2 linked regions of the Oryzias latipes genome follow. The protein of the gene in region 1 interacts with the protein of each later gene in a pairwise test. Links are inferred from orthologs where the notes say so. Each region holds a gene or a part of one and is shown in the gene's direction. Other genes may lie near its edges.

Region 1 (4,588 bases):
TTGCTGGCATTATGGTGTGTAGGCAGGAGGTGGCTGAAACTGGTTGGCAATGTCATAGTCAGCAGGGAAAGTCTCGCTGCTGTCCTCCATTTCTGAGAGCAGCTCCAAGGCCTGCTCTTCCTCCTCGGTGGGATAATGGCGCAGGAGGTTTGCAGCAGTGGCTAGAATGGAGGCTCCACCAGCACCTGCCACCAGGTAGAAGCTGATGGCAAAGGTGACGTAAATGAGAGAGCCATGGTACTTTTTGTGTTGCTGCTGCAGTGACAAGATCAGTTCCGATGCCCAGTAGCAAAAGCCTATGACTGTGGCACACTGCAACACTGGAAAGACAAAGAAACCAGTTACATTGTAGCAATGTGTTTGATCTTTATTAGAAATGAAAACAAGCACTGTAGATACCTGTTAGTATATGTGCAAAAGCATATCTGCGAGTTATCTTTAGGGCAGGGTGTTTGGGTCCAAACACATCCAGGAGGAACGCAGTTAGACTGCACAGGATGCCAAGGAAACAGAAGGCAGCTATTACCCTTAGCAGCAGGATGGTCTGCGGATTCACACAGTAATCTGAAAAGACAGACGTGCCACAAATTCATATAAATTAAGGCACTCCATGATCCTCAGCTTAGAGTGGCAACGACTTTGTGCTGGTTCTTACCACCCAAAAGATTGGGATCAACGTATCCCAAGACATCTGCCACCCCGAGTTCTTGTCTCGGGCAGGTGCCTCCGTGAATCCGGAGCCAAGCAGGTTCAGCCAGAGCCGTGCACAGCGCTGTGATGGACAAAGCTCCGGGCAGGGCCGACACTAGACTCCGCTCCGGCTGTTTGGGAAGTGAGGTACCGGCTCTCCTCCTCCGACCTCCGGAGACAGCGGGACCCGGTGGGGCATACATAGCTGACCGAATGGCGAATTTTCTGTTGAAGTGGTAGGTTCCTCTTAGCACTGTCTTCCTCTTGACAGTAGTACCGGGTTATTGTGGTATTAGAGTAAAACTACGGCAATTGTCTTCCAGGATATGTCAAAGATTTCGGTGGCGATAAAAGTGCTCAACAATATAAAAACAACAATAACCGCTTCCCTAAAGTAGTCAAAAAATATTAAGGAAAAGCCAACACAAAGAACAGATCCTAAGCGGGCCTTTAGCTCTGTTGTTAGCCTCTGAAGCTAACTAAAAAAAATAAACACTTTACGTCACCAGTTCTCGGAGGAAAGACACTTTTTAGCGAACGAATGGGAAAAAATATAACCTGTAAACATCAAATCCCGCTGATAAAACCGTCCGTCTCTATGATACAAAAAGGAACACAAAACAAAACAAAAGATAGCTTACGCTGTTTTCCTCAAAATCCCTAACTTCCTGTATATGCCATTCTTCTTCGTGACGTTTAGAATGTTTGCTGTACACTACCGCCCCCAGCGGAAACTAAAATAGAAATGTACACAATGTTTAGCATGAAATTTTCTTTGCAAACAGTAATGTAAATATAGATTCATATTATAAAAATACATATATAGGTAGATCACTTTCTTTAAAAATATATAAATGAAATATTACCATCAAAACGTTTTATTTTAGATCAACCCATAATGCACCGGGTCCAGATCCCGATAAGCAAACATGGCGGCATTTCCTAATTTGACGCTTCTTTGAACTTATCTGTGTGAACAATTTTCCTTGGTTAATTTCCCCCTCCTTTTGTTTTAATGTTCATAAAGGTGTATTAATTTACTCGCAGTCCTCTTGTCTGTCGTTTTCCTCATTTGTGACTCTTTTTAGCCTAAATCTTTGGTTAACGGAAATCGAGAAAAGTGTCGAGTCGACGCCTGACAGACAGAGGAGTCACGTTTGCTGGAGCTCTGCCATGAAGGAGGCTATTTCTCTGGTGCAGAAACTCAGCGCACACCCAGATTCTCGGTGCTGGTTCGTCAGTTGGAGCCCGAGCGGTGCGCTGCTGGCTTCGTGTGGTGGCGATAAGGCCATCCGGATATGGGGACAGGAAGGTCAGACTCAGACAGACAAAGAGCCTTCTATTCGAATTTTGCTACGCCGATTTAAAATCAGTGGTTGGATGACCTTACCTTTTTTACAGTTCATGTTTTCCCTTTTCAAGGTGACTCTTGGGTTTGTAAAAACGTTCTGCAGGACGGACACCAGCGCACTGTGAGGAAAGTAGCCTGGTCTCCCTGTGGGAACTATCTGGCCTCCGCCAGCTTCGATGCGACGACATGCATCTGGAAAAAGAAGAACGACGACTTTGAGGTAAGGTTCGTTTAACCTCTGATCTAACACGTGTTCTGGCTCCACCTGGACTCTTTTCTTGTCTTCTAGAGCTTAACTGTGTTGGAAGGTCATGAAAACGAGGTCAAATGCGTGGCGTGGGCCCCTTCAGGGACTTTGCTGGCCACTTGTAGCCGAGACAAGAGTGTCTGGGTTTGGGAAGGTTTGTGTCCTCACCAGCTCTTGCAGGACAATCCTTTGTCACAGAAAACATATAGAGCTGGGTTGTAAACCTTTGTTTTCCTTCTTCACAGTGGACGAAGAAGATGAGTACGAGTGTGTTACAGTGGTGAACTCGCACACACAAGATGTAAAGCATGTTGTGTGGCATCCCACGCAAGAGGTAGGTCTGCACTCAGTCCTTCACCATCATGTAGTTGTTTTATTATTGTTGCTATTAATTGTTAAAGTGCATCTTTAGCCATATTTATGATCTACGTGCTGTTTTTAATAGAGCCATGGTAACGACGTTTGTGGGATCAATAAAGTTGTATTTTATTCTATTTCCGCAGCTCTTGGCTTCTGCCAGCTACGACAACAACATCTGTATTTACAAGGAGGAGGATGATGACTGGGAGTGCAGGGCCACTCTGCAGGGACACACGTCCACCGTCTGGAGTTTGTGTTTCGACGTGACGGGACAGAGGCTGGCGTCTTGCAGCGATGACCGCACTGTGAAGATTTGGAAGGAGTATCCAAGTGAGAGTGGTGAGAAGATAGAGGGGTAGTTTATGACATAAATAAAAAAAAATAGGATATTTTTTAATCACAGAATGTTTTGTTTGGTCTGCTTTATTAGGTGATTTGTCATGGAAGTGCGTTTGCACTCTGTCGGGTTATCATGGACGAACAGTGTACGACATTGCCTGGTAAGACTAAATACTTACACTACAGCAGGGGTGTCAAACACACGGCCCGCGGGCCTTATCCGGCCCGCCAGGTGGTTTACTCCGGCCCACACATGAAGAGTAAAAATCAAAAGGATGATTAAAAAAGAAAGCAAGTTTCTAGTCCATTCCTGTGGCGAATTATGATTTTTTAAAGAAATAACAGAAATGTGCAATTCCGCCACTAGGGGGAGTAAAGGAAAAGAAAAACAGTTGAAACAGCAAATATCTGCATGTGCCAAAAGCGAAACATAACAGCTCTGCGTCTGGGTAGGATGCACCTTGGTTCCCTATGAGCCTTACCGCTGTTATCTTGCTATAAGGATGATCATTAGCGACACCCTAATGACCAAAATGCTGTCAAACGTGAAGTGGAGGGAAGAGCCTTCCAGGAAAATTGGACAGAGTTTTTTCTTTTTTTCACGAAGCTGAATGTAAAACCCAAATGCTTTGTATGTCATCAACATCGCAGTGCTCAAAGAATATGACATTCAGCACCACTAAGAGACTTATCATAAAGAAAAGTTTCTGGATTGCTTCAGTGTCAGATGTAAAATATTCAGACTGCATTAATTTGAATAGACCAACTTTTCTTTAATTGAAATTAATTTTATTTGAGCTCCATTGGCCCCAAGTGATTAGGCTACTATGTTGATTGAGACATTTTTTCCAACTGAATAAAAAACTAAAACAAAGCTGTTATTTTGCTTTTATGTTACTGGTCCGGCCCACTTGAGATCAGACGGGTTAAATGTGGCCCCCGAACCAAAATGAGTTGGACACCCCTGCACTACAGTCTGGTGTCTGATTTTTTTTTTTTTACTTTAAAAATAGATTCTATTTACAGAGTTTTTAAAAAGTTGCCAAAACAGATTTTCTTCTTTGCTTTTTTGGCTGTACCACCACTAAAACAGCGCTTGTCATCAGTCGGCTGAATCTTTGTCCCCTTTACTATTATGGCTCAAACAACTGTCTGTTGCGTAGGTGTCGACTGACCGGTGCCCTAGCAACTGCCTGTGGCGACGACGCCATACGAGTGTTTAGGGAGGATCTCGCGGCCCATGCAGATGAGCCGGTGTTCTCGCTGGCTGCTCAGGTGAAGAAGGCTCACTGTCAGGATGTGAACTGCGTCGCCTGGAACCCAAAGGAGGCCGGCCTCCTGGCCTCCTGCAGTGATGATGGAGACATTGCAATTTGGAGGTTTCAAGAAGAAGACTGAACCTGCTGTGGAGACACCAGCAATTGGATGAAACCCTGTGCTGAACTTAAATGTTCTTTTCTTTTGCTATATAAAGTCATGCTTATACAGTTATCTTTATAAATCTGAATGATTGTAAAATGTAAAGTTTAAGTTCTATTTTTATTCACAAAAGTGATGATGGGTGTGCTGGTTAACTGTTTTTAGTCCTACAACTTAAAAGG
Region 2 (4,462 bases), on another chromosome or scaffold:
CAAAAAATACGTTTTCGAAAGCAAAAAAAAGTTTGAAAGCAAAACAAAATTTTCACCTGCATCATGGAAAGTTTTGTGTGCAACTTAAAAAGTTTTGTGTGCAACATAGAAAGTTTTGTGTGCAACTTGGTGGCAGAAATATCACTCCATATATTTCAAGCAATCACAATGACGTATCAAACTTGGGATAATTAGACATAAAATTAATTATTGCTTGAAAGTGGAAGGAAGCGAATTTATATAATCCCACCCCTGTTCTACCGTAACCATTTTATTATATGATTTCTCATGTAATAAATTAAGAATCCTGAAGTATCAATAAAGCACATGACAAAGATGAATTACTTAAAATATTATGTAAAAAAATAGATAGGAGAGCATAACCCCTCTCCTATCAAAAAAATGTCTCGAGATGGTAATTCACGCTTTAATTTGTTCCCACTTGGACTATTGTAACGCACTCTACACATGCCTTTCACAGCAGAGTGTGTATCAACTCCAGACTCCTAACTGGAACCAGAATGAGAGATCATATCACTCCAGTTTCAGCGTCTCTGCACTGGCTCACAGTCCATTTTAGAATAGATTTTAAGATTTTAATGATTGTTTTTAAAGCCCTCTGCTGTCCGGCCCCTAAGTATCTGGTTGTTCTGCTTGTTCCTTATGTACCTGGACGCAATCTTAGATCTTCAGCAAAAGGCCTTTTAACAATCCCACAATGCAGATTGAAGACCATGGGAGACAGAGCCTTTGCTATAAGAGCCCCAAAACTCTGGAACAGTCTCCCTCAAGGGATCAGGCTCACTGAGTACCTACCAGTTTTAAATCTCTTTTAAAAACCCACCTCTATATGCGTGCGTTTAATGATTTCACTGGTTCTTAAATTTAAACTTATGATTTTATTGATTTTTAACGCTATCACTGTTTCGTGCTGGGTTTTATTTTTACGTCCGGTACTGTTTTTAATCAGGATTCTGTCTTATGTTAATTGTACAGCATATTGTAATCTGGATTTCAAAAAGTGCTATATAAATAAAGTGGATATATTCAATATATAAATATTGGACACTAATGACAGATGGAGGGATGGATGACGAGTGAATGAAAAGAGTGGCTGGCTTTGCCTCTGTTGAACTTTAACAGTTTAGTTTCTCCTCCGTCTTTGATCCAGTTATGACTGTCTGATCCCCTCCCATCCAGCAGGTGGCGGTATATAGCATCTACATTTCAGGTTTAAGTTTCCCTTTAATGCATTGACTGTATAATTCTCAATTACTGTCACTGCTTTAATGATGAAAAGTCTGTCTACTGGTAGAAATTAGACCGATAACAAAAGCATAGTTAATTTTGTTATTGTATTCAGCTGATATTCTGTACTATTGCAGTTATGATAACTCATTGCGAAATTCGTTTTTATTGGTTTAGTTCAGGCAATAATAATAACAAAGTTATTAATTGTATTCGTTAAACTAATAATAGTGGGTTTGCTGATGGTCTTAGGACAAAATCATTCAGCATTTGTTACTTTAATTTTCCTCGCAGGCTTTTTGTCCGCTGCTGCTATCCGTCATACCCGGAAGTGCTCTGTGAGAAGGTCGACATAATAAAGCAACACGACTCCGCCTGCATACATGGGCAGTTGAATGTTTAGTGCTGATTGACGAACATAGTGAAAAATGTCCGGAGGGTCTCAGCTGGAGAACGCTAACCCCGTCATCTTCCAGCGGTCCGGGGAAAGGCAGCTGACGGCGGCCGACGAGGACGAAGACGTCCATGATCCCATCGACGACCGGGAAATATTTGATATCCTTTTTAATTTAAAAGCACCAACTTAATACAATATTCGTTTTAGTTACAATCCCTGGTATTTGTACGAAATCTCAGGATCTCTTTTTCTTATTTTAAGATTACACAATTTGACAAAGTTTGGCATATATATTCCACAAATCTGATAAAAAGGGCGGTTTGGAGCTTGAAAACATTTAAAGTCCCACTCCGATCATCCTCTGGTCTGTTTTGAAACGTCCCCAGTGGGTTTTTAGTAATGATTATACTGTTCTTAAACAAAATCAGAAAACCTGTGTCGTTTTGTGGGACGTAGTTTCTTCAGAGCGGCAGCAGGAGTTCATTAGAAATGTGACTGTTGGCATGGAAAAAGCCCCCCTCCACTCCCCGTCATCCATCTGTTTACATGCTCTCCCCTAGCTTACAACCACTCACAACAAACCTGGTGAGTAATAATGAAGCTCTCTAGTCGAACAGTTTAGATCCAGAGTCCAGCTCAGACGAGGAAAACAAAGACATACAAACAAACCTGTTTTGTCCCTTACGGGGTCACTGCTGGAGCCTATCCCGTGACGGCAAAGGACGCCCTGGACAGGTCGCCAGTCTGTCTCAGGGCCACAATCACACACACTAACATTCTCACCTAGGGACAATTTCGAGTGACCAATAAACCTATGAAGCATGTTTTTAGACGGTGGGAGGAAGCTGGACTTCCTGGAGGAAAACCCAGCCGGGACTTGAGCCTGACCCCCCCCCCCCCCCCCCCCCCCCCCCCCCGCAGACCTGCAGGTGCATCAGAATGGAGCAGAGCAGGAGGACTGTGGCATGGCCCGCGTATTTTCCACATCACAAATACGATCTTTTCCAAACAGTATAGAATTATTCAGAAACGTGCAATTGAGCTTAATTTTCTCTATATATGTCCTCCATCATGAGAAAAAAGCCACAATAATGTGTTAAAAACACCATTTTCGTCAATGTGGGTTTTTTAAACAGTTAAATTCTTCAAATTGTCAGCAAAAACAGTGAGAAACAGTTGTTTTGTTGTAGCGTAAGGAGGGGGGATTCTTTAAATTGTCATACTATAAAAGATGAGGTCTATTATAGCTACAATTAAACTGTGAGAGACAGAATGTAAAAAAAGGCAGGAAATCACACAGTTTGATTTTTAAATAATTTATTTGTTTAATGATCCAGAAAATAGGCATTTAGTCAATAATTAAAGTTTGTTCCAATACTTCATAACTGGTTTTGAATGACAGAAGTCAAACATTTTAGATTTTCATGAGATTTGAACAAACTTTCGCTGCTATTTTGGCCCATTCCTCCATGCAGATCTTCTCGAGAGCTGATGTGATGATGTGGAGCTGTAGCTGGAAAACACAGATTCTCTGTTGGACTGAGGTCCAGAGACGGGCTAGATCCCTCCAAAACCTTCAAAAGCTTTTTATCTGCTGGTTTCCTGGGTGATGTGTTTGGGATCCTCAGAGCCATCCATGTATCATCCTTGGCGTTTTCACTCATAGCAGGAGGTTTTCGCTCACGTTCTCACTTGACTTCATCCTTTCCTTCATATGGATCAGTCCCCCTGTCCTCTTTATGGTTTCACCCTCATGCTTCACAGTGGGTATGGTATGCTTGGGACTCAACCCAGCATTCTTTCACCCTCAAACACAGCGAGTGGCGTTTATTTACTCTACAATCAACTGCTTCTTTATTGTAGATTGGTTCATTCCAGTTTTTCTTCCAAGTCTACAATTGTGTCTCTGGTGTCCTTTGACAGCTCTTTGGTCTTATCCATAATGGAGAGGTCTCAGTCTGACTGTTTAAGGGTGTGGACAGGTATTTTTTTATACAGATCACCAGTTAATACAGGTAACAAGTGGAACACATTTCATTATACAAATACATTGTTTAAAAATCATATTGTGAATTTATTTTTCCCTCTTTGTTTTGTAGATTCTGTCTCTCTCAGTTGATGAACAATACAGTCTAAACTCATCTCTTTAGGTGGCACAACTTGCAGAATCTTTTTTTTTCTTTACTCCAACTATTTCGAGTCTTTTTCTCATGGAGCCATAAGTTTAATTCAGGCCCGGGGGGGGTTGACGGGTCGGGGTCTCCGCTGAGGCCATCGGCGGTTTCCCCGGCCGGTTGGCTGCCTCGGTCCCGTCGAGGCCTGACCAGGGCTCTTCTAGGGCCGGCGTTTGGGGGTGGGGGCCTGGGCTTGCTCCGGGGGGGGGGTGACGCTTTCTGGCTCCTCTCTCTCTCTGTGGGGTGGGTGGTGCTGGGCCTGGGGTGTCGGCGCCTCCGGGGGTGGGGCACCTGGGCTGGGTGGCCCTGGCCCCTTTGCTGGGGGGGGGGCTGGGGGACAGCTGTTTGACCACTGGGGGACAGTCTACCAGCTGTCCCCAACTTACCCCCTTCCTCATATAACCTCATATTAGGGTGAGGGGGTGGGGGGTCTAGCCTGCGATGCGCCTTGGGGGGGGGGCTACTTGGCAGTGGCCCCCCTCCTATGGTTGCCGTACGGAGTGGGCCCCCCCTCTTTCGGTTTTATTTGCACCTTAGACATGTAGGGTCCTTGGTAGGGGGGGTGCTTGGACATCACTGCCAGCAAGCAGCAGATGTCCTCCTGGCACCCTACCCGCCAATTTTAACCGCACCTTAGACATTT

The links.
Region 2: the proteins of ciao1 (region 1) and fam96b interact in binary tests that used the Homo sapiens proteins (3 or more experiments, as listed by UniProt). The two-hybrid records come from large-scale screens. The link is inferred for Oryzias latipes from reciprocal best matches to the Homo sapiens genes CIAO1 and CIAO2B.

The regions. Positions count from the first base shown.
Region 1 is NC_019867.2:18,361,146-18,365,733, forward strand, and holds the start of ciao1 (probable cytosolic iron-sulfur protein assembly protein CIAO1), read left to right. Parts: upstream 1-1,587; 5' UTR 1,588-1,863; coding exon 1,864-2,002; intron 2,003-2,112; coding exon 2,113-2,261; intron 2,262-2,330; coding exon 2,331-2,442; intron 2,443-2,533; coding exon 2,534-2,622; intron 2,623-2,791; coding exon 2,792-2,987; intron 2,988-3,078; coding exon 3,079-3,148; intron 3,149-4,150; coding exon 4,151-4,385; 3' UTR 4,386-4,588. Other genes in the region: tmem127 (transmembrane protein 127), read right to left, coding at 10-320, 400-564, 656-893. UniProt on the Homo sapiens protein: Key component of the cytosolic iron-sulfur protein assembly (CIA) complex, a multiprotein complex that mediates the incorporation of iron-sulfur cluster into extramitochondrial Fe/S proteins.
Region 2 is NC_019873.2:4,896,363-4,900,824, forward strand, and holds the start of fam96b (mitotic spindle-associated MMXD complex subunit MIP18), read left to right. Parts: upstream 1-1,559; 5' UTR 1,560-1,676; coding exon 1,677-1,803; intron 1,804-4,462.